Linked DNA regions of Tamandua tetradactyla. The protein of the gene in region 2 purifies or fractionates together with the protein of the main gene of each other region. This does not show direct contact. Links are inferred from orthologs where the notes say so. Each region holds a gene or a part of one and is shown on either strand. Other genes may lie near its edges. The genes, in order: HSPA12A, EPB41L3, NUMA1 and PNN.

Region 1 (7,876 bases), on a different chromosome or scaffold from region 2:
CCCAAAGACAACATAATTAACCTGCTGATATCTGCCCTTTGAGACTTTATTTAATCCACGTCTATATAAAACACACGCTGACCTTCCCCAAACCCTCTGCCCCAGCCTCCATGACTCAGATTTTCTTCCTTTTTCTCTAACCCTTTTTGTTTTTGTCCTGTTATATCTTCTTGCTCCACTCCTATGTCCTAAATATAATCCTTCCCCCAAATTCAGGTTCTTAGTTCAACTTTTCCCTCCAGAGGATTCAACTTTAAAACACTTCGTGTATGTCTTTTGTTTCTTTGCCCTTCCCTTTTCCCTGTGATACCAATGCACTTCAAACGCCACACATCTGAAACCAAATGAATCAGATTCCCTCTATCAAAACCAAATAACTCATTTATCCTATTTCTGTCAACTTGACAGATGTCTACATTCATCCTCTTCAGCCATCTTTGGTTCCCTAACCCCACAACCAGTTACTCAAAGCCCTTTCCATCCTCCCTATTATTCCTCTCATCCTTCTCTTCCCATTATAGTTTGGTCTTTCCTTCTTTATTATTTCCTACCTGGATCTTCTGCTTTTGCTATACTACCACCCTGATCAATCCTACCTACTGCTACCAATCTACTTCCTAAAACAGTACTTCCACCTGGCCCATCTGTTATGGATTGAATCATGTTCCCCACAGAAATATGCTCGAGTCCTAAACCTCAGTCTAACGGATGGGAATTCCATTATAAGCAATATCTTCAAATATCCTATTAAGAAAGGGCCAAATTAAATCTGGGTAGACCTTAATCTAGTATGCTTAGGGTCCTTATAAGCAGAGGAAATTTGAACAAGGAAGTAGGAGATACATCAGCAGAGAGATAGCAACTGACAGAGGCAGAGTTAGGACTTGCCGGTAAGCTTCCATCAGAACAGTACAGACATGAATAAGCACATGCTGCCAACACCTCGATTTTGAACTTCCAGCCTCCAAAACCGTGAGACAATAAATCCCTGTCATTTAGGCCAATTTGTCTGTGGTATCAGTCATTGGCAGCCCTGGCAAACTAAGACACCATCCTATATTCAGCTATTTGTGGTTGCTTCTGACTCTTACAGAATGATATTCAAACCCTTTCACAGTCTAGCCTCAGGCTACTTTTCCATCCTTATTCTAAACTATTTCTGAAAAGCAAATAAATCCTTTGTTCCAGCCAGAATGGTGAACACATTCATCATTTACTCAACGTCAAAACATTTTGTTGTAAGTCAAATAATTACTGAGCATGTTATAGGCAAAACCTATTCATTCATTCAACAAATATTTATTGAATAGCTCTTCTGCCAGGTAACGTACTGGGGATGCAGTGGTGGACAAGACAGACCAAGTCCCTGCCCTTATGGAGCTTAGAGGCCAAGGGGTTATAGAAATATGGTGGTCCCAGCCCAGGATACTTTCAATCTTCCACTAAAATGTCAGATGATTCAACATATCCCTGAGGACTGAATTTTGCGACCCATTTTCCAAGTGGGAAAGGAGTTCAGAGGAAAGGAAAGACTGGCTGGGGGTAGAGCATGGCTTCTTTGAAGATGTGGGACTCAGCCCAGGCACTACAAGGTGGGTGTTCACCTTCATCCACCCAGCCGGATTGAGGAAAGGCACAAAAATGGAATGGAAATATACTTATAGCCATATCCATACATGCATCGGAAATTAACTTTCCAAAGTTCTTTCACTCACTTCCTTTTATCTTAAATGACTTCTGAAGCAGGGAGAGTGAGTAAGATGTTTTCCAGATGAGCACAGTGATGCATAGATTAAGTGATCTGCTTATGTCAGAAACACACACAGCTAAGATAAGAACAATAACATCCTGCCCATCTCGGCCTATTCTTGCAGTAGAGTGTCTAGGGCAGAGCGCACACAGTATTAAGTTCTATAATTACACAGAACACCTGGCAAGTGTAGTGAAATCAAGCAGGACATTTTGGATTTTAAAAGGAAGGGCACAAGCAGCCTCTGAAGGTTGAGAGGGAATACAACCCTATGATAGTCCTCCATCCCCCACCTCTAGGCCTGTTCATACCCTAACCACCTCTTAAGGTTCGCCCCAAGTATTTTCGGACCACACTGGTTTTCCTTCATTTCACGCCCACGAATCTCCCAGGGAAGGGAGCGCAGACTTTTCTCCCCTGGACATCACAGTATACCCAGCCTAGCACCGTGTTTGGTTCGGAGCAGGTAGTTGACCAAAACTGGCTGAATGAATGAATCCCTGGGGCCTCCACAGCTTAGTAAGGACACCCTGAGCTCTGGACCGCCGTCGCATCCGGGGGAGCTCTCCAACCGCGATGAACAAGGGAAGGGGGGACGGCCGAGTTCCAGGCCACGGGGAACCCTGCGCGCTCCCCGAGGTCCGCGTGCCCAGCTGGAAGCCGGAGCTCCCGCCGCTAGGGCTCCGCGAGGGGGCGAGTCGCCACCCAGCTGAGGGCCGAGGAAGCGCTCCGAAACCGAAAAAGCACTTCAGCAGACAGATGTTTCCCCATCTGCAAAATCGTCGGGAAATGTGGTGAAAAATCAAGCTGGGAGAGCGCTGTTCTCCCGAAAGGTGGGAGCCCCAATCCCTCAGGGACAGGGGAGGGACAAGTCGGAGAAGCCATTAGCTACCCTGGGAAGAGGGGCGAAGCTCCAGCCGCAGGAGTAATTTAGTGCTGGAAGCCTCGCGAGATGTGGAGGCAGCCTCTCGTGGCGTTGCCTAGCGACAGGAAGGACGCTCGCGGGCCCCAGTCTAACCCCCTCTGTAGCCTTAAATCTCCTACCATGGGGGAAGAAGGCGGCGGCCGCAGCTGTGGGACCACTAGGGAGCTGCAGAAGCTGAAGCAGCAGGCGATGGAGTACTACCAGCAGAACGACGTTCCGCGCAGGCTGGAAGAGATGCTCAACTCCACCTTCTACCTCCAGCCTGCCGACGTCTACGGACACCTGGTAGGGACCTGGGGCGGGCATCCTCTTCCCTCCAACCCCGCCCCCCGTCCCGCGCTGCGGCAACTCGGTGCGCCTGCGCTGCGCAGTCGCGCATGCGTACCCTGCCACCGCGGGGTTGGAGAGCTACGGGTTGCCGGTTAGCTGAGAGACGAGGCACTTATCTTGGCGGAGGGTGGGGGTCTGGAGAGGGGAAGGAGGATGTTCGTGAGAGAAAGTAGTGGGAAGAAAGCACCAGAAGGGAAGGAGGTCCTACCACCCTGCTTTTGCCTAGGGGGTGAAGGCCAGCGCGCTGGCATTTGTTCCAGCTTGGCCTGGGACCTAATGTCTTGCCAACTCCTGGTGCATGCGGGTTTCAGTCCGATTTCAGGTCTCAACTCCTTGCCATGTGCGCCCTACTCTGCCTGGATGCCCGTCCCACCTTACCAGCTCCTGTCTAAGCTCCAAGATTCAGATCAAAGCCTTCCCCACTCCATCGTTCTTAAATGTTCCTGTAGCAGTTTCTGCGTGTATTGTAATGCTTCGAGCCTGCCTCACTAGCTAGCATGTGAGTTCCTTTTAAGGGCTGGGCCCTTTCCTTATCACCTCCTTAGTCCCTGTGCCCAGCTCGCTATCTGGCACATAACTTATTTAGTCTTTAGCAATGAGCAGTGGAAACAAAGGTGTTTTTTCAAGTCCAGATCCGTAGGTGTTTTCACAACACCTGCCATCTGGAAGGCGGTGTGCTTGGGACTGGTAGGAGTTTGCACTGTGATGAGGGAAAGCAAGGAGATAATATTACAAAATCAAGCTGAGTGTTTAAGTGCCATGAAGAGGCACGATGTGCTGTAAGCGTTCAAAGCCAACATCTTGTTAAGGCAGTTGTTATAGAGGATGCCCCTGCAATGATCGTTTCTTCTTGTTATGGCCTATACATCGAGGTTGTATGTTTGGGGGCAGGGAGTGATGAGATGTTTACTAAGCCCCTTGTGCTGTGCTGCTTATGTTATGCCACTTAATCCTTAGAACCACCCCATGATATGAAAATTGTGAATCCTGTTTTACAAATAAAGAAGCTGTGGCTCAGTGAATTTAAATGATTTGTGCAAGGGACACAGTGAGTGATGGAAGCAGAAACCAAACAAGGTCTGCGACCCTAGTACATAGCAAAGTGAATGATTTATCTGGTGGGCGCTCAGAACTGTTCGTGAAATGAACGCCTAACTCTGAATTCCATTCTTCCCAGTATCTCATGTTAGAGAAATTCTTGCAAGTTATCTAATCTAACTTCCTCATTTTATAAAGACACCAAGTCCAAAGTAATTGGCCAGTCCCACAACTATTGAGCACAAAAGCTAAGGCTAGAAAATTTGGTTTCTGGTTTCCCAGTGTAATGCTCTTCCAAGTCTGTCAGGGCAGCTGAGACAGTGGTCTGTATAGCTCTCTAGGAACCTTGGTTGGGGAGAAAAGCCACTGATAGATAAAATAATTGGAGAAAAAGATAAGGTGATATATGATTGCATGCTAGATTGGGAGAGAGATTACTATACCTATTAAAGGAATTCCTGGAGGGGGAAGATCCCTGTAGGTTTTGGTATCCAGGATAGTTTGGGCTTGTACTTTGGAGATATACAGGAATTGGACAAAAGCACAGGGGAAAACACTCACCTTTTCATCTTCATAATCACAGTCTGAGTTTTAGCAATCCTTTTTTTCACCTTGTCTCCCTCTACGGAGTCCATCCTGCACAGTGTTCCCAGAGCATGTTCCTAATACTCCAGCCTGACCATCATCTCTGGATGAGAACCTTCTTGTGCTTTCCCTTTGACCGCTTAGTGAGCTCCAACAGCTTCACATGTGTGATTCGAGTACTGGGTCCCTACTCTGACAACAGGCTTATCCCTCACCACTTCCACATTGCATCACTTATTATTCCCCACAAAGCCAAAGTTTCCCACTTCCATCCTGTTAGCTTATCCTGTCCCGCTCTACCTAAAGTATTTGCCCTTGACTTCTCCCCTAGTCTGCCCTTGAAATATTGTAAATCCTCCAACATTTGACTCAAATACCTTTTCCTCTCTGCTTCTCTTATGTATTAAAGGAATTCAGGGATGGGGATGACCCCTGTAGTCAACAGCAGTATTGTTTATTCCTTCGTCGTTCAACTTATGATTGAAAAAGTTTTTAACTAGGGAATCAAGCAGATGGAGATTTGATTCTTGGCTCTGACACTTATTAGCTGTGTACCTTGATGGTTCCCAATGAGCCCTCTCTCCAGTCTGAACACTCTTATGCAAGTCGTGCCCACATGGACTCAACTTGGCCATGAGACTTGCTTTGATCAATAGGACCTTGGCAAGCATAATGCAAACAGAGGCTTAATAAATGCTCATCCTCTTGGAACACTTCCTCTTGGAAGCTAGTCATCATGCTGTGTGGAAGCCTGTTTACCCTGCTGGAAAGAGAGATCATGTAGAGAGAGGCTCCAGAAGATCTGATACTTCCAGGATGGGAGAAAGATACCCAGTCAGCCCCAGCTGTTCTAGCCATCTAAGATTGCCACTGGACACACCCAAAAACTGTTGGTTCCTTTCCTCTTATGACGCAATATCTGGCACACTGAAGGGGCCTGGTACTTGTTGAATCGAACTCACTATAATACACTGAGTATAAGCTAGGTAATATTTTTGTTGCTTCTGATTCCATCCAAATTTATTTATGCACTGAGCACTATAATATACAAACCACCATCCCTAAAATGCATAGGTGGCTTGAAAATTGCCTTTTGCTTTAATTTTGTTGGGGTACCACCTCTGAGCTGGCACATTGCTGTAATATACAAATCACCATCCCTAAAATGCATAAATGGCTTGAAAATTGGCTTTTGCCTTAATTCTGTTGGGGTACCACCTCTGAGCTGGCACATTGCTGAGTGTGAGAGTACCTGTTACCTAAACTGAAGTTGGATTTTTTTTTTTTTTTTTTAGAGGGAGGAAGGGAAGGAAAGACAGAGAAGGAAGGAAGGATGGAAGGAAGGAAGGGAGGAAGAAAGGGAAACATCTTTAAACATTTTCTTGTTTTTATTATATTTTGTTTGTTTGTTTTTTTTTTTTTTTTTTACATGGGCTGGGGCCGGGAATCGAACCGGGGTCCTCCGGCATGGCAGGCAAGCACTCTTGCCCGCTGAGCCACCGCGGCCCGCCCTGAAGTTGGATTTTGAACTGAAAGATCAGATGTCTGCTAAGTGAAACAAAGAGCTCAATACTATATAGTAATGAAGAGGGCAAGGGGGGTTGTCTTCACTTTTCCTTCTCCTGTTCTCTCCTAGCTCCTCTAACTCCCTGAGTGAACTTTCTACCTCAACTTCATTCTCTTTCTTCATTCTCTCCCTTTGATCACTTCTAAATGGCTTCTACTTTTCCACATCAATGAAACTGCTATTACTGAGGTTCCCAATAATCCTCTTTGAGCATGTAGGATCATACACAGACTGGTGGTAAGTGAGTTACAGCTGCTGCATATGACTTCACCTTGACAATATCGGTAAATCATTAGATTACATATTTAAAGAATCAAATCAGTAAATATTATTGCAATATCAATAACGATTGGCCCACTTCAGACTTCTTAGGTTCGAATACACCATAGTGTTCTAGAGACCAGTTAATTACTATCTCTTGGACAGAGGGATAGAGGTTTGGTTTGCTAAAGCTGCCAGAATGCAATATACCAGAAATGGAATGGCTTTTATAAATAGAATTTATTACGTTACAAGTTTACAGTTCTAAGGCTGTGAAAATGTCCAAATTAAGGCACCAATAAGAGGTTACCTTCACTCAAAAAAGGTTGATGCCATCTGGTATACCTCTGTCAGCTGGGAAGGCAGTCGGCAATGTCTGCTAGCTTTCTCTCCCAGATTTTCATTTCATAAGGCTTCCATGGGGCATTATCCTTCTGCATCCCCAAAAGGTCTCTGGCTGTGTGGGCTCTAACACTACTTCCAAAATGGTTCCATCTGAAAGGCCTCCAGTAAGGAGCTCACCTTGAATGGTGGAGATACATCTCCATGGAAATCACCTAATCAAAAGGTCCCACCCACAATTGGGTGAGTCCCATCTCCATGGAAACAACTTTAAAAAGATCCCACCCAACAATATTTAATGAGGATGAAAGAACACGGCTTTTCTAGGGTGCACAACATTTCAAACCGACAAAGGTACGTTAGTGAGTTGAGTTGACTCTAAGAAGGGTTGCTAAATGGTAACACAGGGCCTTAAATAAATGTATGTATATTTCTTCTGAGAGTTCGTAAAACAACATGTACTAGAGACTTGGCATCAGGCTGATTCAAATCTCAGCACTTTGGGGAAGGGTAGGTCCCACAGAGCTATTAGTCTAATCCTGGCACCAGAAATGACCTTCAGGGAGAATTTAGTAGAAACTAAAAAGAGTAAATACGAATGACCTTTTAAAGATAAATTAGAGGTGCTGTTGTGATTTTTGTGCTTTGTGTTGAAGGCAAACTGCTTTTCTAAACTTGCAAAGCCTCCCACCATATGCAGAGTAGTGGGGAAAAACGTCCTGGATGGACTGGGGCTTCCGACACTGCAAGTGGAAATATTCTGCACCATTCAAAATTTTGCCAAGGTATGAGACAGCTTAAGTGCCTTCTTCAGTATGTCCTGGCCGCCTCCCTCCCTCCCCCCACAGCATTGATTAGTAACTCTTGTCTAAACCATAAAAAATTATCTTAATGTTTTGAAATTCAGCATTTGTGAAATATTTATAAATACTATTCATTGCTAGTCATATATATAAAACATGAGTCATACCATCAGCCCTGCTGGCTTTTTCTGTCTCTAAATGTAACTCCAGTACAAATGTGCCAAGCTACCTGCAATGACCCAAGATGGAGAAAGGAAATGAGGAAAACAGTTTTA
Region 2 (7,774 bases):
GTAAGAGATGGCTTAAGACTGGGAAACCAACTCCTGTAGGGACAAGGCCTGTCTGGCCTGAACAACAGAAGCCACTCAGGGGATCTGTATTTATCTCTCTTGAGAAAGAGGATCTAGGCATTTGGATGACCACCATGGACAGAAATAGGGCTGTTTTAGTTTGCTAAAGTTGCTGGAATGCAATATACCAGAACTGGATTGGCTTTTAAAAAGGGGACTTATTAGATTATAAATTTACAGTTCTAAGGCCTTAAAAATGTCCAACTAAGCCAGACAGAGAAAGATACCTTGATCTGAAGAAAGGGTGAATGGCATCCAGGATTTCTCTGTCAGCTGGGAAGGCACATGGCTGGCACCTGAGATCCTCGCTCCTGGTTTGTTGCTTGCGCTTCTGATTCCAGTAGCTTCCTCTGTACGCATCTGTGGGGCCTCACTTAGCTTCTCCGGGACAAAACTCTGAGCTCTGGCTTGCTTAGCATTTCATGGGAAGGTACATGGCAACGTCTGCTGGGCTCCTCTCCTGACTTTTGGTTTCAAACGGTTCTCACAGATCCTATGCGTCCTTCTGCCATTTTCTTCTGCATCCCCAAATGTCTGCATCTGTGTCAGTTCTGAATTTTTATTTCTCCATGACTTCCCTTAAAGACTCCAGTAAACTAATTAAGGCCCATCTTGAATGGGCGGAGTCATGTCTTCATCTAATCAAAAAGTCACATGCACAATTGGGTGTGTGGCATCTCCATGGAAACAACCTAATCAAAAGGTTCTACCCTGAACCATAGATCTGCCCCTACAAGGTTGGTTTAGGATTAAAATAACATGGCTTTTCTGGGGTACTTAGATTCAAACTAGCAAGAGGACAAACCAGTGAAACATGTAGTGAGTCACTTTTCCCCTTCAAGCAAAGAGGATGTAATGGACTCGTCAGGGGTAGGATAGTAAGATTCTCCTCCCAGGGCATGTCCTACCACCAGTAGCATGAGCACTGGATAGAAAAATTCTACCAGTAACAAATATCAGAAGGATTAGGTGACCTTTAAGCCATCTTTAAACTGTGTTTACAATAATACCTACGTTTATTGATTGCTTCCTGTATGCTGGGTATTGTACCAATCACTGCAGATGCATTATCTTGGTTAATCCTCAATACAGCTTGTCAGGTAAGCACCTTTAGCTTCTCACAGGTGAACAAAATGAAACTTAAGTAATGTTTCCATGTGCAAACCACAAGCCTAGATGTTGGAGCCAGGACTCATTCTTGTGTTTGCCAACTCCAGAAGCCATTCCAGGACTCTTAGCTCCTGCACTTGACTGCCTCTAAATCCTAGCAATTCTCTTTTGACTCTTCCTTCAGAATCTTGGGCTGTACAGGGCTCCACACAGCATCTACTGATTTCCCCCAATGTCAACCGACCTGTCAATCACCCCTTCCAATATGTTCTCATCCTTTCTTCCACATAATGTTTTCTTATTTACGGGCACCCTTAAGCTCCTTCCCCAATGTTCAGAAAATGTATTTTCTTGAGGGAGAACTTCCCATCATGTCTATGCTAGGAACAGCGCTCCCAGAGAGAAACCCATCTTTCCCCTTTGTTTGTACCTCACCTGGCTGTCACACATCAAAAGTGTTTCTGATTTTCACCAGGCACTCCTCCAGTTTGAGTCAACCTGCACTCAAACCTGAACAAGCCCCACCTTCATTCTACTCATTGTTTCACCCAGTTCAGAGTCAAATAGCAATTCATTAAACAAGCACTTAACCTGAGGTATTAAAATATCTCTTGTGAATGTTTTCCCACTGCACTGCTACCCAAGTCTTCTCGAGTTTAAAGAAGGACAAGGTGTAGCTTGTCTCTGCTGAGAGCTTTGAAAATAAGCACTGGCTGCAGGGAAAAAGCTTGCTATTATCTCCCAAAGTGGTCCCAAGATTTTAGGTTGTCATAAAACAGAATCTTTGCCTTAAAATATAAAAGTTGAATGTAGAATGCAGAATTATCTTATGACCCAGCAAAACTACTTCTTGGTATATAGCCAAAAGACTTGTACAGATGCTCTGCATACCAATGTTTATAGCTGAAGTATTCACAAGAGCCAAAAGGTGGAAGCAACCCGTGTCTGTCAAGAGATGAATGGATAAACAAAATGTGGTACATACACACAATGGAATATCATTCAGCCATAAAGAGGAATGAAGTTTGGAGACAGGCTACAAAATGGATGAAACTTGAGGACAGCATGTTGAGTGAAATAAGCCAGACACAGAAAAGACAAATATTGTATGTCCTTGCTTATATGAAATACCTAGAAGGAGCAAATTTCATAGGGAAGGATAGTAGATTACAGGTTCCTGGGGTTGTGGAAAGGGAGGGGAGTTGTTGCTTAATCAGTGCAGAGTTTCTGTTTGAGGTGCTGAAAAAGTTGGGGCAATGGATATTGGCGATGGCAGCACAATATTGTGAATATAATTAATGCCACTGAATTGTACACTGGAAAGTATTAAAAATGGGCAATACTGAGTGGTGCATATGTTATTACAATGAAAAGTTCAACAACAGGAAGCCAGTGCTATAAGGGAGTATTCCAGGCTATTAGCATCAGTTTGCAGGGAGCCACTCCTTGGCTGGTGTCACTGTCCCCGGAAGGCCTTGTGATAAGCCATCTTCAGGCTTCCTTTAGTAAAGCCTGCTTCCCTCCTGCCTCAGCCTCACCTGCACAGGAGTCTACAAAACACTGCTGGACATGAGCATGTCACACATACAGTCTCAGAACATGCCATTTCCCTAATGGCCTATAAAATGTGCTATTTGCGCAGTTAAGTTTTAAATGTTACTAGACTAATAGGAACTTGGCAATGAATCCCGCTCACAAAGACGCGCCCCGGAGTCAGGTGCTACTGATTGATTGGATAGCTTTACAGATTTGTGCTTTTTAGACTTTTATCATTTTTCTCCTCCCGAGGACTAAAGCAAGTCAGTTTTCCCGAAGCACGAATTCAAGAGCCATCAAAAGGAAGCATGAATGAAGCGCCAGCCTGGGCAGGTTGCGTGAACACCTGTCCCGGTCTTTAGGACGGATGGGGAAAGGAAATGAAAGGTTAATGTTCTCTTTGTTTAGTTATAAGGCCAAAGAACGCTATAGAGCACAGGCCTAGTTCTACCCACCAAACTGCAGTTTTTCTCTTCTGGACCCTGAAGGCCACAGGTTCCAGCAAGCACGTGCCGGGCTCATGCATGGGGGGCCCGTAAGCGCCAGTGGTGGGAGCTTTGCAGGTCCTGGAACCCGAGGTCCCTTCCAGGCAGCGGCACAGGCTGGGTGAGAAAGGCCGGGGGAGTCAGGAACTTCTCTTCGCCTTTTTAGCGCTTCGGGTGAAGTTGGGGGAAGCTTAAACCAAATTAAAGCCCAGACCACTTTCGGCCTACTCCACATCCCTGGAGTCTGTGCTGCTGTGATTTCAACTCTTTGCAGACTGAGGTAATTTAATCCCAGCAAAAGGAGCCACGTTACCAGATTTCCTTAAGGGACACGTAGGGGTGTTCGTATGTTCCCTCCTTCCTCCAGTCTCCAAACCACCACACTATATTTGCATGCGTGTCTGCGTGTGTTTCCTGCTGCAGGCATAGGCCGGAGGACCCCAAGACCCCGCTGGATGGAAGCCCTCGGAAGCCTGGAAGCAGCTTTCCCTGCCAGGGCGCTGGGCGCGGAGGGCGGGCCGGGGCGGGGCCGCCGTGGGCCGCGGCAGCCAACCGGCAGAAGGGGGCGGGCCGGGGCGGGGCGGTGCGGGCTGTCACAGGCGCCCGACGCGCGCTGCAGGTGGGAACTTGGAGGTACCGCGCCGCCGCGGGAGCAGTCGGCGTCCGGCGGCCCCTTCCAGCCTCCCGGAGCCCTCTCCTGCCGCAGGACCCGAGACTGGAGCCGGGAGAAGCCTAAAGGAAGAGCCGCTGGCCCCGGGCCCCGTGGACAGCCCTGCTTCTCTCTGCCCTTGCATTACTTTGTTTCTTCGGGAGAGGTTGTGCCGGAAGGCCAGGAACCCGCTCGGGAAGGCGCAGGAGAGGACGGCGCCAGGCCACTCAGGTGAGCGCTCTCCTTCCTGGTGTCCCATCCCGCTGTGCAGGCCGGGCGCGGCTGCTTGCCCGAGACAGGAGCTGGGGCGCGGGCGCCTGCCCTTGGCTCGAGGTCGTCGGGGGACAGAGCCGGGATGGCGCGAGGCGGGCGCGGCCAGGACTCCCGGGCAGACGCCCGGAGAAGGGATCGGCCAGGAGGTGTTGTGGAGATGGTCGCAGGCAGTGCGTCTTTGGCGGCCGCTGGACAGGCTTGTTCTGGTGCGCGCGGTGGCGGAGATGCAGCGGGAACCCTGCACCGCGCCTCTCCGCGAACCCCCCGCGGGCAGGGCGAGCGCCTGGAGATTCGCCGAAGGACGTCATCCCTCCTCTGCTCCGCAGCTCCTCCTCCGTCCCGCTCGCCTCCATCCCTTGCGCCCGCCGCTAGGTCGACTCGGAGAGGCCGGTACATTTGCAGATTCGCGGGGGTCTGCTGCTCCCATAACCCGCCCGCGGGGGGCTGGACTTGGCGCGCTTCGGCGGGAGCCCAGGGCCGGGCAACCTAGTTTGCGCGCCGGAGGCGAGGCTGCTCGCTGCTTCTGTGCGCCTTCCGCGGCGCGCGCAGAGGTGTAGGGGCGCACTAGAGCCCTCGCTCTTTAGTGCTCCCCCTGTTCTCCATCCCCGGCCCGCCAGCCTAAACCCGTGGCGGACGAAGCGGTATCTCACAAGGCAGCCTTTGCTCGCCCTGGAGGATGGGGGTGGCGGGCTCCTGGTATGGTGCGAGCCTTGGAGGAGAGGCAGAGCCTCCCCCTCCATTTCTGCACCTCAGCCCCTGCCTTGAAGCGCACAGTGTCTCTGACCTCGGCATTCCGGGCCGCGGCGGGGGCGCTGCTGGGAGCGAGCGCAGGTCCGTGTGGGTGTGCGGGTGGGCGTGTTGTGCTCCCCGGGAGGCCCAGGCGTACAAGCCGCTTTCTCTACCCCTCGCCAGCTGCGCACAGCGGCTTCTCCAGCAACTCCCGCCCTGCTGGTTCTCCTCCCAGCTCCAGCACCTAAGCCCCTCCACGGAGCGGTCCCAGGATACGTGGCCGGAGGGTGCGGTAGGGGAATTGAGGCGCCACTCCCCCCCCCCCGCCCCAAGGCAAATGCGGCGATTTTTCAAAATCCAGGGGAGCGCCCCTCTCTGGGCATTTCCACTTCCCTCCCCACGGCAAGTAGTGGCCTCCGGTGGAGGCTGGCGAAGGCAGCCCGTTATCCGGAGGCGAGCGGCCAGCAGTTCGGGACGTGGAAGTTGGGGCAGCTGAACCTCCAATGTCCCATTGGCGCTGTTTGCTTGCGAAGCGGAGGGGCCTGGGGTTGGCGGCCCGCTCGGGAGAAGGGGGCGGGGGGGGGGGCGCTGTGCGCGGGAGCTGGGCGCGCCTGGGGCGGGAGCTGCGGGATCCCTGGCCTCCGGGCACAGTGTCTGGCGCTGCGGTTCTACTCTGGGAGGTACCGAGTCCCACGGGAAGTTGCAGTGTGGGTGGGCGCCGCTTGGTCCCCTCTGGAGCGCGGCCGCTGCGGATTCGGACGCGGCGGCTCTGCGGAGGTTGGATAGCTGCCCTCCCCGCAGACCGCCGCTTTCGCTTTTCCTCCTGTAGAAGTGCAGCGGCCGCTGGAGGCTGGCGGGCGGCCTCTGAGCCCGGAAAGCCCGTGGTGCCGGCGCGAAATCCTCTCCGGAGGGAGAGGCCGGTTTCCAGAGAGAGGCGAGAAGTGGAAACCCGGGGTCGGCGGTTAGCGTAGTCGCGGGAGGCGGGGTGAGCGCGGAGGATCCCCCAGGGCATGGCTAACCTGGGCCTGGGCGCTGCTCTTCCTAGGGAACCGGAGTTAGAAGCCCCATTACTCAAGGCTGATGGACAACTCAGGTTTAATTCCCCAGGAAATGCATTGACTTAAGACTGGGACGGCAGAAGGCTGAAATCCACGAAATGAATGAAAGTAGAATGACTGTAAATCCCAAATATAATTTCAGTTTAAGTCTAAATTCCACCTGATTAGAAACAGGCTAATGTGGGAGAGCAGCGTCTGGGTGTGGATGCCTTATTGCATTTCTCAAGACAGTTACTTTCAAGGCAGGCTTTGCTCCGCCTTCCCCCAGCCCGGAACTGTGCTGAGTGGCGGTGGGAGGTGGAGGTGCGGCTGGGAATGCACGGATCTCTACACACAGTTCAGAACGCTGAAGGCTTCAAGTTCAGATGGTTTGGGAATGACCTTGTGGGCCTTTTCTCCTCCTTCCCTTATCTGCCCTAGGCTGGGCCAGTTACAGTTCAGACATAAGTGACTGCCAGTTTCCAAAGAGGAGTTTTCAGTAGGCTTCTTAGAACATGTAGTAACCTTGGGAAAACATTCTCTGTTCTGAGGAGCACAACTTCAGCCGATCAGATTGAAATTTTATACCTAGGCTATGAACCTCAATCCCGATAAAAGTTTCCTTCTAGAGGATTTGAGGGCAGGGCTGCTCTGATTTCCTTCTTTTATTTCCAGGGCCTGACACATAGTGTGTGCTCCGTATGTATTTAAAGACAGATGCTGGTCATTTATAACACTGACCTGGAAAGGCATTTAGTAATTTCTAGGACCAGTCGTTATTAAAATAAGCATGTTAAACTAATAGTCATTGTGAGGACTTGCTTGCATTGTTTAGTTGTATATATTTTAAAACTTTTTGGGATTGATTAACTCACTTTAAATAAGAGGGCACTGAAGATATTAAGAAATGTGGAAATAAATGATGAGTTTCATGGTTGAAGTCCCTCTATAAAAGCCTATCATTGAATACCTCTAGAAATGGGGTTCTCACTACCTTCAGAAGTATTCTATTTCATTTAAATAAATTCGTTATTAAACACGGATGAACATGGCATCGTCTCTGTTCACATGAAACTCATATTCTAGTTGGGTGACCAAAGGGACAATTTTGCTAAAGGTGTTCTCGTATAGATGACGTGAGAAAGTTCAGGGACCTTGCTGAACTGAGCCCATGCTTTGAGCGGCAGCAGCAAGGGAGTCCTGTGGTTTGGATGCTGAAGGAGGAGCAGAAGTTCTCTAAGACCCTGTAAACAAACAAAGAAGAAGATCTCTGGAGGCCTACTTTCTTCTGTCTCCTAAGCTATTATACCTAGCCTTCTCTCTCTTCTACATACCCGCCTTCTTGTATTGAAGAACATTCTCCATGCTCCTCTATTTCTGCTCTCTTTGAGGACAACCTCAGATTCTTCATCTTCAAATACCCACTCACCTCAAAATACAGAGGGTTGGCGTGCTTCCTCTGGGCAAAAGAAGCAAAACCGAAAGCAGAGGAAGATTTTTGTAGGATTTTAAGTCAAGGAGTTTTATCTGTGAATGGTTTATTAAAAAGAGAAGGAGAGTTAGATGAGTCACAGTCCACTCTGGGCAGCTACTTCCTCATCTGTAAGTGCAATAATAATTCTCACCCACCACACTGTGAGAATTAATTTATGACTTCAGAGTTCTCTGAAATGCCTGGAAGGAAAGTGTGACACTTAACACATGGAGTATAGACTTCTCTGATTCAGAATTGGTTAGCCAAAATAGCAAGAAAGAGAGTTAGTAAGACTTTAAAATGGAGAGCTGGTCAGGAGGCTAGAAAAGTTAATGTATTGAACCATAATCTTCACAGTAAAGATGGAGAAATAGATATAACTATTAAAACAGTTAATGATTTGTCATAATGCTAGGGAGTA
Region 3 (7,900 bases), on a different chromosome or scaffold from region 2:
GTGGGTATTAAACTTGATTGGGTGGAGACAGATCTCCACCCATTCCAGATGGGTCTTGATTACTTTACTGAAGTCCTTTAGAGGAGGAAGCATTTTTGGAAAAGGCTTGAGATTCTGAGAGAGCAGAGAATGAGGACAGAACGACAACAGAGAAAGCCACGAGAGTCCAAGAGAGACAGAATCCACCAGCCAGTGACCTCTGGAGATGAAGGAGAGTGCTCCTGGGGGAGCCTCATGAAATAAGAAGTTGGGAGAGAAAGCCAGCAGACTGTTGCCACGTTGGCCATGTGCCTTCCCAATTGAGAGAGAAACAATGAAAGTCATCAGCCTTCTTGAACCAAGGTATCTTCCCCTAACACCTTACACTGGACATTTTTATAGCCTTGCTTTAACTGGGACATTTTCTTGGCTTAGAACTGCAAACTAGCAACTTACTAAATTCCCCTTTTTAAATGCCAACAACAACAACAACAACAAAAAAAAACATGTGGAAGGCAGAATGAGAAGTTAAATATGAGATCCATGAGCAGCACTACTTAAAGAGGTAATGACAAGGAATTTTTACAAAATTGGTAAAAGATATGAAATCACAGACTGAGGAATCACTACATGCCCCCAGTAAATAAATAAACTTAAATCCACACCATGTAATGAAACTGCAGAACAAAAATGAAAAAGAGGATCTTAAAAGCAACCAGAAAGGGTGTATGGGTAGCTCATTAGTTAGATGGCTGCCTTTCATGCAGGAGACCTGGGTTCGATTCCAAACCATGTACCACCACCTCCAAAAAAAAAGCAACCAGAAAAAATACTGATTAAATTGAGAGTGTAGTTCTCAAGAACAACCACAACAAAAAGAATTTTATGAAATAATATTTTCAAGGTGCTAAGAGAAAATAATTAGAAACTCAGTACCCAGATAAACTATCATTCAGACTGATGATAAAATAAAGACATTTTCAGACAAAGACAGTGTTTACCATGAACAGAATCCTATTGGAAAAAAACAACTATTCAACACAAAAGGAAGGAATAAAGTGTAACAAAGAATGGTGAAAAACAAACAGTAAACGTGATAAAATTAAATAATCATTTTAGTGACCGTGCAAAACAATTATTAATTAGAATTGTTCAACATTGAAATGGACTACCCTCTGGAATGGTCGCTTTATTCTTGGAAGTCTTCACTGTGAGCCTGGAAAACACCACTTGGTTTGCTGAGTGTACAGTGGGTAAGAGGCTTAATTAAATGGCCTTCTGACCATAGGGTTTTATCAGACACAGCGTCAGATCAGCTCTCTTCAGCCATCTGAAGTAGGGCTTTGCCCCCATCCCAACAGTTCTAGAACCCAAGCCTTAATTCAATGCATTCTTCCAGCTCCCCTATTTCACAAATAAAAAGGAACACTCTAAACAGAAATGTTTTTCATATGAGCTCTCAGGTGAGATCTCCCAGCTTTTGGGGAGTACAGCTTCTGACCATAAGATTGAGGCACTGAAATTAGTCATTATTTGCCTGAAATTGAGCTAAAAGTACTTTGGAAGCTTTTACAAAGAAGTATATGCTCCTTCCACTCAAAGGAGACAATACCACACAGGAACAGAGAGGGAGAAAACACATACACCTACTTGATCTGACTGTTCACCCCAGGTTTCCCATATATTCAAAGCAGGAAAGATCTCCCCAAGGTAGGGAACCTGAACTCCCTTAACATCAAAGGATTCTGCCCCACCCCAGAGAGTAACCCACTTGTAGAAACACAGGACCAGGAACAGAGGACAGAGAGAGGGAAGCATAGAGCAAAGCAAATACATATTGTTTTAAGAAGCAACGCCTTTCCAAGCAAATAGATAACTTACTATTGAGGGTCAAAAGTCATTAAATGAAGAAAGGAAAGCCAGCACAAGGAAACTCATTCATTCCAAAGAATAAATTAATGGCCATAATATGTCTCAGATCCTGTATGGGCATTAGGATACAAAGACAAAAGACACTGTTTCTCATCTAGAAAGACAGGCAAACACACAGAGACTCTTAGAATACCAGGTGACAGGTGCTACCTCAGGACTAAGCAACAGAAGGAACCTAGGAGAGCAGAATCAACTCAGTTGGACTCTCACCCACAATCTTCATACACTTACATTACTTACAGTCACCTTGTAGCATACAAAGTACCTTCACGAAATACCTTATCTGATTTGACCCTTATGAAATAGGTAAATCAGATAAGATCATTGTTTACATATATGAAACCAAAATAAGGACCAAAGAACAAAAATAAGTGACTCATCCAAGACAAGCCGCATCCTCAGTGTCCTTTCACCCGTCCTCGATTCTGCCCAACCTCCCAAAACTCTAAGTACAGTCAACCACCAACCAGCTATGTGACTCTGGCCAAGTTAAACATTATAAACTTCAGATTTTCCATCTGTAAAACGAGAATAGTAAGTATAATAAGGATAGGAAGATTAAAAAGATACTCCATATAAAAGGGTGCCTTTTCACAGTGCCTGAAACCTAGTTGGTGCTCGGAAAATATTTGCTGCAGCTGCTACTACTACAGCTACTATTGTTAACAATAATAGTCGAAGACTTCACGTTACAGTAACCTCGGTTACAAACCTTTCAAGAACCTGGCCCATTCTCCATCCCGGTTGTCCTCAGACAGGATTCCACAGACACGCCCCCAAACAGACCCACCGCACCTAAAGCACCCTCGGCTCCTCCCTTAGGACATGCCCCTCACCCAACGCCCCCACAAACCTTACTCTCGATTGTTCTCCCCTTTCAGACACGGTTATGAAAGAGGCCTCCCACTCGCACCGGCCTCTGCAATCTCTTTAGGTCTGGGCATCCCTGAGGGTGCCCAGGCCGGACGCCAGCCGCGCCCGCGCGGGTTACCTGGCTGCGCGTTCCCGCTCCGCCTCGGGCTTGGCCCCGGAAAGCACCTCTCTGCGAGCTCGCGCCAGCGCTGTGAGCGCACAATTAGTTTAAACTATGGCCCCGCCCTCCTCACGCCGCCCTCTGATTGGCCCCTGTTGACTGTTGTCGTATGCTAAAGCAGCTTGAGGACCCGGAAAAAGGAAGTGTACGTGAGGACCTCTGGGAAGGAAGAAGGAGTGTCACAACTTCCGGATCCCGACCTACACTTCAGACCAAAGGCAACTACAAATCCCAGCACATTTCGCGACCTTGGAGCCCCGCCTCTGACTTGTGCCAGAAAGAACTACAGGTCCCGGTAGGCATCGCGGCAGCGCTTCCGGCGTCCAGCCGGGACGTGGTGGCGAAAGCGGTTACCATGGAGTTGCGCTGTGTAACCCGGAGGTATTGGCGGTCCGAGGCTGTAGGGAAGCGTCTGCGGGTGAGTCGGATGGAAAACAGGGAATCTGCTCCAGGGGACAGCAGTGCAGTGGAGAGGAGAGGGGGCAACGCAGAAATACTAGGAGACCTAAGACACACCCAATCCTAATCCCCTTTCTCATTGACCATGATAGAACACACGTTGGGTTGGGAGGTGAGGAGGGAAGGGCGCTGAGATACATACCTGTACAAATCTGGGGGTGCCTGAGACCCTACCCCACAACAAACATAGGGCCCCCTGCTACGGATGCTTTAAGTCCTGACACACCCTAGAAGATCTGAAACACCCTCAGACATGGGTTTGTTTTCCTCTGAGGACCTGAGACTTTTTCAAGACATAGGAGTAAATCACGGTCCCTAATTCTGGAGCCCTTGTGAGACTTGAAATATCCCCCTTTCTGCCTCTTCCAGATCCTCCTTCTCAGAGGGTCAATAGGAATCACCCACTGCCCCCAGGTTACCTCCTCTTCCTCCACCTCCTCCATTGTCTGCTTATCAAAGCTCTACAGTTAGAGCTTCATTCCTTCTTTTACAGCCCTCAGATAGATCTATTATACTTAGTAACTTACCCAGCACTTTCCCATTCAGTCTCTCTTTCAATACTCATAACAGCTCTGTGAGTTAGGGTATTCATCCCCATTTTACAGATTAGAAAACTGAAACCCAGGGAGGAGTAGTGACTTGCCCAAGGCCACATACAAACTCAGTAACAGAACTAAGACTATACTTAGTTCTCAGACTCCAGCCAAGTCTCTTTAGCTGTGCCTACTACCTCTATAGCTTAAGGACTTGTTCCAAGGCATAGATTAAACTGCCCCAATGAGAAGGAACCTGTATGGCCTGCACTGGGTTATTTACACTCAGCCTGAATAAGTTTCAAATCTTTCCCCGAATGTTAAAATGGGGAAAGGGTATTAGAGAGACTGAAGACACTGGCAATTGAATAGATTTAAGTAAACTAAACAAGAAACAAACGGTCTGGCTAACACAACACCTATGTCTGATGCTGTCATGATTAACTGGCCTCTACCGGGCCCTGCTATCTAGTCCTTCCCCTAACCTCCCAGCTATTTTGCATATTGTAGTCAGAGTAATCCTTAAAAATGCAAATCTGATCTTGTTTACTCCCCCCACCTCACCCCATCCCCATTTTAAAATATACTTTGTGGCTTCCTATTGCACATACCATAAAGCAACATCTCAACCTAGTTCTTGCCCACCTCTCCAGCCTCCAGATTAACAATATGTACCCTTCTCTCTCCTTTCCAGTTATATGGCCTACTTTAAATTTAAATTTCCAAATAACCTCTCAGCCTTTGCACATACTGTCACTTTTGCTTAAAATGCTCATCTTTACCCTGTACAGTTAATTTGTACTTATCTTCCAGATTTCTCTCAATCATCCCTTCTTCTGGAGTGTTCCCTGACTGCTCACACTAGGTCACATCCTAAATTATAGCATCATCATGTTCCTCTTCATTATAGTACTATTCACTGTTGGAACTTTTGATTTGTTATACCCCTACGACTTATCACCACTGCTGGGATACAGCCATGAGAAAAACATGGTTCTTCCCCTGATAGATTTTACTGACATACAGATAATAAACTGATAACTATAATACAGTGTTATGAGTGCTACCATGGCAATAAGTATAGGGTGCTGTGAAAGCCTAGAAGAGTAGTTCCGCATCCAGATTTGGGAATAAGGGTAGGCTTCTCAGAAAAGGTGACACCAGAGCTGAGTCTTAAAGTACGAATTAGCAAGGTGAAAGGGGGAAAGAGGAAACTATTACAAGCAGAGGAAGCTGTATGTGCAGGTAGGTTCAGAGAACTTACTGCAAGTAGTTATATTTGGCCAGACTGCAGAATTGGAAGTGAAGATAAAATTTTATATATACTCTCAAACAGAGAGAAATGGAGAGGTGGGCCAGAGCCTGGTGCAATCTTGGGCCTCCCTAGGGTACCTGGGAATGTAGCCTCCCAGAATACATTAGTTTAGGTGGCAGACTTTTCATGACATGCTTTGATGTTTCTTCCACCTTTGGCCCATAAAACAGAAACCTCTCTAAGCCAGGCAGTTGAATCATCAGATCCCCTGAGGATGTGGATTATTCCTCAAATCTTCCTGTGCTATCATATTGTTACTTGTCAGAGAGGGCAAAAACTGGCTATCAAGAAATCAAATTCCAGTCGTACTTTTCAAAAACTGAAAACAAATTTGCATTGGTTTGGGGTTGAGTACAGCTCAATTAAGTAAAAGTATGACACATGCATACTATAGAATACTCTTCAGCTATTAAAAGGAGTAAGAGAGTCTACAACAACTTAAAGATTAAAAAAATAGGTTTACAAAGAAATAGAGAGTATGTATGTGCCTGTGTAAAAATATACATAATCCTGTTTATATATGTATTCCAGGAGGTTGTGCTCTCAAACTATTAACAGTATTTGCCCTAGGAGAGTGAGCTGGAGATCCAGACTCTGTTTCTACTTGATGTATTTCTCTATGTTATTCAACTTTATTGTTATCATATTGATTTTTTATACTTAAAAAAAGTTTAAAATATTTCCAGTTTGAAAAAGAAAAAGTCCAATTCCAAATCACAAGGCAGGTATGCTGTTAACCCTGTCATTCATCAGGTCAGCCTGATCAGATGAGGAAGGTGTTAGGATCTGGGCAGAATACCAGCATAGCAGCTGGGAAGGGCTGACTCCAAAAAACAGCCACAGGAGAGAGCATCAAGGCTTCAGAGGTTCTTCCCAGCGGTCACCCTGAAGATACCATTCATTTATTCTTTTATTTTGCCATTTGTCCTTAAAGCATTTATGAAATACCCATTCATTGCAAGACTCAGTGCAGGGTCGGGGAAAGAGGTCTGTCTGCCCCTGTCCTCAAGGTACAGGGAAGGAATGGGAAATAGGTTATAAAGAAATAAGTGCAGAGCAACTACTTACATATATTGAGCACCTGCTGCAGGACATAAAACAGCTCTCAGGATAGGGTTTGTCTCCAATTATAGATGAGGAAACATTGTTATACAATTTTTTTCAAAATACAGTGAGGGATTTCAGTTAGTTCTTGCTATAACAAACCTCCCCAAAACATAGTGGCTTAAAAAATATGCATTTATTAGTACTTCAAAGTTTCTGAATCAGCTAGGTGGTTCTACTCTTGGCTGGGCTCAGTCATGTGTCTGTAGTTATCTGTGGGTTGGATGACCCTCCTGATCTTGACTGAGGACAGGCTGCCTATATCTAGTCTAGGATGAACTCAACTGTGATCACTGGCTCTCTTCTACAGCTCATATCTCTCCATCAAGCCAGCCATGTTCTCATGACACAGGCAAAGCTCAAGAGGGCAAGCCCCTTTTAAATTTTCTGGTGCTTCATGTTTGTCAGTGCCCCATTGGCCAGTACAGGTAACATGGCTGATTGAAGTATCAGATGAACTACAAAGTCATGGGGCAAGGGGCTGGATACAGGGGAAAACTGATTAGGGATCATTAATGCAACCAGTCTAAAGCAGTGCACAATGATTATTTCCATCTGGAAAATAAAGGCTTTATAGAAGAGGGTACACTAGAACTAAGAATTGGAACATGAGTATTCATTAAGTGGGCAGCTGTTACTTGGAACTGGGTGCAGGCCAGTATGTCACAATCGATAGGATTCCAGCAGGTCTCTCTGTGCTTGTGATGGACAGGGTTTTATTATTTGTTTCTTGGCTTCATTCCTTCTGGTCAGACATAGGGCAGCAGGCATTCAAATGTTGACAGAATTGAACTGAGGCTGTTACTGTGAATGAGGTATGGACTAAAACAGCTGAACCTGGGAGCCAGTTGTTAGAAAGAGCAGCCTAGATCAACTCAACCAAAACAGAAATCCTTGATTTGGCAATTTCTCATTCATTCATCCTATAAACACTTCCTGGGTGCTTGCTGTAAGCCAGATTGTGTTAGATTATGAAGAGGGCATGATACTAGCTCAAAAGCTACTGTTTATATGAACAAAAATAATAACCCTTTCCATCTGGCAAATTTATTCAACTACTTGGGACTCCTTTTTTAAAATATTCATACAATAAGTATTTATTGCCTGCATTTTATCTGCCAAACTGAGTGCTACGAATTGGGAATGTATTTGTTAATGAATAAACCTTTTGAGAGTGGACTCCATTTTTAATGCTACCTCACCAGAAAAATACACAAGATGCAGTGCTGCACAAATCAGAAGTGCTTAGGAACTGTATGAGAAGCTCTGATGTCAAGGCAGCTAACCAGTAAAAATCTGGCCTTAAATATTTACAGCTAAAATCCATGGCCAGTATTGTAGAATTCTGGGGTCCCAACCAAGGATCTACCCAAAGCCAAGGGCAGAAAGTGCTTACTTCAAGAAAAGTATCCAACCCTGCTCAAAGGCATCAAATCTGATATTGATGCTGAAACAGGGTGGGTTTGTCTGGTGAGAACATACACTATTCTCTAATTCCACAAAAGAATAATGTGTTGTCTTCCTGTAGATTTTGGTATATGAAAG
Region 4 (6,841 bases), on a different chromosome or scaffold from region 2:
AAATCAAAGAATTTGACAATTCAAACTGGTAAACTAGTCATTTGTTCTCTCCATTACTCTGGAAAACAACCAACTTTATATAGCAGCATCATATTCTCTACCAAAATTAACATGTTAAAACTTAAACCAAACGTGTAAGCAACTCTTAAAAAATTAGAATAACTGAACCAGTTGGAAGGATCATGGAGTTTTAATCCCTTGAGAGAAAACCTAAATAGAGATTTGTCCAGGGTTCCAAGGTCATACAGTAAGGTTGTTAAAGGGCTTATACTGGAACCTGGGTTTTCATGAGTCACAGAGCAGGAGTCTTTGTACTACAAAGAGAAGTTCACTGATTACTTCACAGCACCTCAATGAAAGACCAGTTAATGGAACAGCTTCAGAAAGTTCCATAAGTTTTTCCTTGGCTTTCTATCAGGTTGGCAATGAAGTATAAAAAGAGCTTGTAAGCTTTTAAAAAACATGCAACTGACAACTTCAACAACTCAAATAACAGATAAGTGAAACAAAGCATAAATACCCGCTCAGTAGCAACAGTGGATTCTTGTTTAAATTTCTGAAGGGTGCCCATCAACAAGCCAAATATTCGTCGATTTCTTGAAAAAGAAACAAACACAAAAGTCAATTTAAATAGGATTCACTTCATTTAAACTTATCATTTTACAAAATATACTACGGGCATTTGAAAAACCCCTGAATTTTTCTTTGAATTGCATGGCTATTATAATCTAACAGAAAATTCTTCCTCCAAGAGTACTAAAGATACCTTTGCTTTCCCTTTTCATCCATATTTTGATCCTGGATAAGGTCTCTACGTGTACGCTCTTTGGAGGTAGCTACAACCGAAGACTGCAACGCTGGCTGTGGGAGAAAAAAAATTTTTCAGTAATTTAACTAGCATCTGTAAGTTAGTACGTTAAGTAACTTATTTATTTATTAAGTTAATATGCTCACTACATCTCAAATGTAGTGAAGATGAAAATACTATACTCATCCTCTAACAAGTTCTCATGTCACTACCTTTTTAATATCATCATCCTCTGCGTCGCTTTCTTGGCGTGATTCTCTCCTCGTCCGACGCTCCCCGCCCAGCCTGTCATGGGAAAAATAATTTAAATGACGACCGTGGAATTTGATTTAAACACATATCAAGGGTAAATACCCCTTTCCTAGGATTCATTTCAGAAGCCTCATTCTATCAGTCTCCATCTCATTTTACTCTTTCCTCCAAAAGTAAAGGGAAAAAATGCCATTAATGTTCAAACCAACCTTCAACCTCCTTTAATATCTAAATTATTTCTCAGGCTGGTTAATTTTTGTAGTACAAACAGAAAAAGGATTAGAAATTGACTATATCTTTCATGACTTTTAGCAACGTTTGTGTTGCTATCACTAAAGAGTTGAGTTTTCAGGGATACTGTCTGTCTCAGTTCAGGAGAATACCAAAGGGGCTCAAAGAAAGTGGTATCAACCTAACTCTAATACAACTCAATTCAGCATTTGTAAAGTGCTAATTGAGAAAATAAAGGGGAAAGAAGTACTCTTTCAGACATCTTCTCTCCAACATACCTACTGACTGCCCCTTCAAGGTCTCTCTGTTTGGCTGGGGGTCCTCCTCCACTATCTGAGAATCCACGCCTGCAAATGAAAACGTCCAAGAGAAAGCACTTAAAATTTTTCTTCTCAGTTGGCAAAAGAATTTAGTTGACTAAAAACAACACAAAAAGCTTTCCCACTAAAGTAACCTTTAAATGGGCATACACTCCAAAATGGTTCTATGGCATTTTTTAACCATAATCAGAAGTTATAAAATAGGTTGTAATTCTTCAAAAATCAAGTGTGGAAATATATTTAACTTCTAGAAGATCTGCTACGTTGGGGTTTAAAAAAAAGGAGATAGGAAATGATAAATTCTTCAATCTGGAGTTTTGCTTGCAAATAAATTATAAGTTTCAGGACAGCCAGATCTAAACAGAAAACTACAGCTAATCATAGGTTTAAACAAAACATTTCAACATTAGCTCTATCACAAATTTTGTTTAAACCAATACCACGTTAATTTAGTATAAAAATGCCAACAGTCTTAATACACGAGTTAAGTTGAAAGGAAACCTCACCTCAGCAATAAACTACCACGTCCTCTACCTCCACCAGGACCAGAAAGGGCCAGCAATCTGGCTTGGATGGGCCTGTAAGAGAATCAAAACTCAATTTAAAAATCATTCTGTAGACCCTTCTAATGGCACCAAACACTTTCAGGGGGGATAAATGGGATAAATTTATCATAAAGGGATAAATGGTGTCGCTCTAAAAGGAGGGGTTCAAATCCACGTGCTTGGTACAGAACACGGAAGTACTGTTTTAGGTGAACTTCTTTTTCCCCTGGACCTAGTTATTTTCACCTAATTCTGCGAACCGCGAAGAAACCGCACGTGGACTAGAACCTCCGGGCACTGAGGCCGAAACGCGTTCTAGGAGTCTTAGAGCCAGTGGTTGCACGGTGGCCGCCGGGAGGAGAGGGGGCTTTGTGCTGCAGTCCCGGGCCTGCGGGGCCACGGGCGGGAATCCGCAGTCACGGCCTTCCCACAGGCGGGAAAGTCGTCCCGACAAACCCAGGCCTGTCTTCTTCTCATGCCCCTGAGTCCATGGCCTTAAGGTGGGGACCCGGAGACTGCCCACCTCACCGAAGACGGAGTTTTACCGCCGCCCGAGGTCCAGGCCTGGGGGTTCCAGTCTTCTCGGGCCGGCCGCCCTCCCCGCCCCCACTTTACCCCGGCGCTGTGGCTCCCGCTCAGAACCTGCAGTTTGCGTCCGGCTCTCACCTCACGTCATTCGGATCCCGCCCGGTGAGCTTGCGAATATTCTCGTCCACGTTCTTTAGGCTCTCCTTGGCCTTTTCTAGCTGCTCCTGCAAAGTTCTCACTGCGACCGCCATCTTCTCCCTGCTGCAGGCTTCAAGACTGCTCCACAGGCCGCGCCGGGCTGGGCCGCGCCGCGAGACGCCGAGAGAGCGACAGCTGCGTCCAGCCAATAGCGAAAGGCGTTGTTTTTCGGCCTAAACCAATCAGCGGCCGGGAGAAGAGAAGCTGAGGCCTTTGTGACTCTGGGCCAATGAGAAACCTGCCGGGCGATCGCCTCTGTGCCTCTCTAGCCGGGGGTCCCCGGATTCTCTCGGCGCAGAGCTGTGGGTTTGGAAGCGTTCTGGGGTCTGGGCTCGAGGACCTGGCAAAGAGCGCGCAGTTTTCCAGCCGCTTTAAGGTGTGCTGTTTATATACCCTACATCGTTTTAATCACTTAATCACATCAGTGTGGGGTGGAGACGCGTCTATTTCCCTTCCTCCCTTTTCGCTAGATTCCATTAGGGGTGGGCGTGGCCATTTTGTTGGTGCGCATGCCCAGAGAGGGGGCGGAGGCGCGTGCTTCCCTTGATTAGGTTAAAGCGAGCCCGGAGCAGTCAGACACGAAGAGATAGGAAACGTCATTCATCTTACTAGCTAGCGGTTATTATGGACTGGCCTTGTTTTTCACTCTGTTTGAAACGCCTTACATGTCTTATTCCTTAGAAATAAAAAATTGGGTGAAATGGTTATTACTGATAAGGAAAGTATGGAACTGGAGATGATGTAACTGTCCCTGTCACTTCAACCGAGAATTACATTCGGCTCAGAGCCTGGGCGGGAGTATACCAAAAGGGAAACACAACGATGAGACAGACGAGGCAGGTTTTTCTTTGCCTTAAGCCTCTATCCCTGGCCTAGCGCTGGTTGATTTAAGGCTGGCTCTGGGGAAAAACGGCCCTCTTGACGGGTGTGGGTGTGATCATCCTACTTCTGGTTCTCCTGTACTTGAACTGAGAATCGGTTTTGGCCCAGAAGTATCTACAGGAATTCTTTTGATATCTCAGAAAATATTTTCTCACAGAAACAATGTTGTGAATGATCGTGGGGTTCTCCATCTGCTAGCGAGGCATCTTCTCCGAATAATGCATTAGCGCACCAAGTGTATTCAACTCAGGCTGCCACTAATGTTTCATTTTCCCTCAAACTTTCAATTTTCAAGGCACTTTAGTCTAACCATCCTTTTTAAGCTCCTATTGGGTGTTAATAGTAAGCTAGCCTGGGGATCATGCTTCATAGAATTTGTAGGCGCCAAAGGGAGAAAAGTTCCATCAATAATAGTTCATTCCTTCGTTCAACAAATATTTGTTGAGCACCTGCTATGCACCTGGTAGGTTCTAGGCACTTGGGTATATCAGTGTGCTGTAAAGATCTCTGCCCTCATGGAGATGGGAGGGCCAGAAAAGTGTGAAGACAAACAATAAACATAAGTAGAATATCTAGTATATTAAAAAGAAAGTAATGCTACATAAGAAAAAAAGGAAAAGTAGAGCTTGGTAAAAAGGGATGGAGATTACAAATAATTTAAAAATTCTAATTGCAAGCATATTTAGTCTCTGGGCTGGTGTGAAGATATTACTACCCCAGAAAAGCCATGTTTTAATCCTGATTCAATCTTGTGGGGGCAGCTGTTTCTTTTCATCCTTCCAATAATATAGGTTGGAAATTTTGTTTAGATGACTGTGCTGGTTTGAAAGGCAGTATGCCCCCTAAGAAAAGCCATGTTTTAATATAAATCCCATTTCATAAAGGTAGAATAATCCCTATTCAATACTGTATGTTTGAAACTGTAATCAGGTCATCTCTCTGGGTGATGTGATTTAGTTAAGAGTGGTTGTTAAACTGGATTAAGGGGCGACATGTCTCCACCCATTTGAGTGGTTTTTGATTGGTTTATTGGAGTCCTATAAAAGAGGAAATATTTTGGAGAATGAGAGATTCAGAGAGAGCAACACTAGAAAGCAGAGAGTCCACCAGCCAGCGACCTTTGGAGATGAAGAAGGAAGACGCCTCCCGGGGAGCTTCATGAAACCAGAAGCCAGGAGAGGAAGCTAGCAGATGATGCCATGTTCACCATGTGCCCTTCCAGCCGAGAGAGAAGCCCTGACTGTGTTTGCCATGTGCCTTCTCACTTGAGAGAGAGACCCTGAACTTCATCAGCCTTCTTGAACCAAGGTATCTTTCCCTGGATGCCTTAGATTGGACATTTCTATGAACTTGTTTTAATTGGGGCATTTTCTCGGCCTTAGAACTGTAAACTAGCAACTCATTAAATTCCCCTTGTTAAAAGCCGTTCCATTTCTGGTATATTGCGTTCCAGCAGCTAGCAAACTAAAACAGATGACCTCTATAGAGATATGAGATGTCCAATTGTGGGTGTGACTTTTGATTAGATGGAGATGTAACTCGACACATTTCAGGTGGGTCCTGATTAGTTTACTGGAATCCTTTAAAAAGAAACATTTTGGAGAGATCCTACAGAGAGAAAGCCACTAAGAAACTTCAGAGCAGAACTGACAGATGCCGACACTTGGAGAACAGAGACACCATGTTTAGAGAGTCTTACAGCCTAACAGATGTCGCCATGAGATGTGAAGCAAGCCAGAACCTGGAGAGAGCCAAGGGAAGTCAAGAGATGAAAGCCAGCCCCAGAGAAACAAAGTGAGGAACTCCCACAGGAACAGAGGCTGAAAGCAAGGGAGCCCAGGAGGAAGGGACCAATGTGCCTTCCCAGCTGATGGTGGTGTTCCAGATGCATTGGCCTTTCTTCAATTAAGGTATCTTTCTCTGGATGCCTTAGTTTGAACATTTTCATAGGCTTAGAACTGTAAACTTGCAATTTAAATTCCACTTTTTAAAAGCTGTTAAAAAAAAAAGCTGTTCCATGTTTAGTGTATCACTTTTTGGTAGCTTGCAAAACAAAACACTACAGAACATTTTAAAGCCAGAGTTTAACAAATTTGAGTTGTAAATATGATCTAGCACATGTATTTGAACCTCTGTAGGATTTAAGTCCCACATCCTCCATAGATTCTTTATGAACTCCATCCTGCAATGATATCACTTCTCAATTCTTCAGCAGTTTTCGGTAGCACCTATTCCTATGATTAGTTTGTATTTTCTGGTTCAAGTATATCTTGTTCTTTTCTTACTCTACCCCTACCCTCCACCCCTGCCCCTTACACTCTTCTACCAGTAAAAATGAACTTCCTGGTGGCCAAAATGGCCCTAAATATTTTTGCATACCTGGGCTTCATCCAATGTGGATTGGGATAGCTTCTCAGTATCTCTATTTAAAATTGTACAGTCTAAAATTGATGATTTGGTCGCTCTTTTCATACTGAGAAACATATGGCAGTAAAAGCAGCTTTTTTGATGAAACTAATAGAAATTCTTATCAATTCTTTCATAGTGAATTAATATAGTGATTACAGCGAGCGTCACCTCCCCCAACCCGGCCCACGTGCCGCGGAGGTGGACTCTTCCCATTCCACGCGGCCAGTGGGCCGTGCTGAAGGAACTCGGTACCATAGAGCTGGCGGACCGCCGGGGTAGAGGAGACCGGAAGTTGTTTCTTCGCCCCCCGTCCCGGGGCTGGCGCTGGGCTCTGCCGGACGGGTTTGGTGGTCTCCGCCGTCGGACACTCGTCCGGCCCCAGGGCTTGGTGGCCCCGGGCTGGGCTGGCCCTCGCCCTGGGTCCAGGCTGAACTTGCCCTCGCGAAGGGGCGTGAGCTCCTCGGTCTCCTAGCGACGGAAGGCTGGGCTGCGGCGGGGGCTCAACGGCGCTGGCCGACTCGCTCCGAGGCGAACCGGACGACCGGCTGGACCCAGAAAGGATCAGAAACCCGGAGCTTTGAAGAATAAGGAGGAAATGGCGGACGAGGCGTTGTTTTTGCTTCTCCATAACGAGATGGTGTCTGGTGTATACAAATCCGCGGAACAGG

The links.
Region 1: the proteins of EPB41L3 (region 2) and HSPA12A purify together in Homo sapiens (affinity purification with mass spectrometry; 4 studies listed by BioGRID and IntAct, with this or other methods). This does not show direct contact. The link is inferred for Tamandua tetradactyla from reciprocal best matches to the Homo sapiens genes EPB41L3 and HSPA12A.
Region 3: the proteins of EPB41L3 (region 2) and NUMA1 purify together in Homo sapiens (affinity purification with mass spectrometry; 3 studies listed by BioGRID and IntAct, with this or other methods). This does not show direct contact. The link is inferred for Tamandua tetradactyla from reciprocal best matches to the Homo sapiens genes EPB41L3 and NUMA1.
Region 4: the proteins of EPB41L3 (region 2) and PNN purify together in Homo sapiens (co-immunoprecipitation; 3 studies listed by BioGRID and IntAct, with this or other methods). This does not show direct contact. The link is inferred for Tamandua tetradactyla from reciprocal best matches to the Homo sapiens genes EPB41L3 and PNN.

The regions. Positions count from the first base shown.
Region 1 is NC_135339.1:79,124,916-79,132,791, forward strand, and holds the start of HSPA12A (heat shock 70 kDa protein 12A), read right to left. Parts: upstream 3,005-7,876; 5' UTR 2,961-3,004; coding exon of another isoform or gene 2,798-2,960; coding exon 2,795-2,797; coding exon of another isoform or gene 2,703-2,794; exon of another isoform or gene 2,388-2,702; intron 1-2,387. Other genes in the region: ENO4 (enolase 4), read left to right, coding at 2,703-2,960, 7,455-7,583. UniProt on the Homo sapiens protein: Adapter protein for SORL1, but not SORT1. Delays SORL1 internalization and affects SORL1 subcellular localization.
Region 2 is NC_135344.1:69,004,674-69,012,447, reverse strand, and holds the start of EPB41L3 (band 4.1-like protein 3), read left to right. Parts: upstream 1-4,774; 5' UTR 4,775-4,789; coding exon 4,790-5,134; intron 5,135-7,774. UniProt on the Homo sapiens protein: Tumor suppressor that inhibits cell proliferation and promotes apoptosis. Modulates the activity of protein arginine N-methyltransferases, including PRMT3 and PRMT5.
Region 3 is NC_135334.1:74,167,310-74,175,209, reverse strand, and holds the start of NUMA1 (nuclear mitotic apparatus protein 1), read right to left. Parts: upstream 3,016-7,900; 5' UTR 2,903-3,015; intron 2,897-2,902; exon of another isoform or gene 2,765-2,896; intron 1-2,764. UniProt on the Homo sapiens protein: Microtubule (MT)-binding protein that plays a role in the formation and maintenance of the spindle poles and the alignement and the segregation of chromosomes during mitotic cell division.
Region 4 is NC_135340.1:14,325,664-14,332,504, forward strand, and holds the start of PNN (pinin), read right to left. Parts: upstream 3,013-6,841; 5' UTR 2,936-3,012; coding exon 2,823-2,935; intron 2,190-2,822; coding exon 2,118-2,189; intron 1,639-2,117; coding exon 1,570-1,638; intron 1,094-1,569; coding exon 1,021-1,093; intron 862-1,020; coding exon 767-861; intron 597-766; coding exon 521-596; intron 1-520. Other genes in the region: TRAPPC6B (trafficking protein particle complex subunit 6B), read left to right, coding at 3,112-3,258. UniProt on the Homo sapiens protein: Transcriptional activator binding to the E-box 1 core sequence of the E-cadherin promoter gene; the core-binding sequence is 5'CAGGTG-3'. Capable of reversing CTBP1-mediated transcription repression.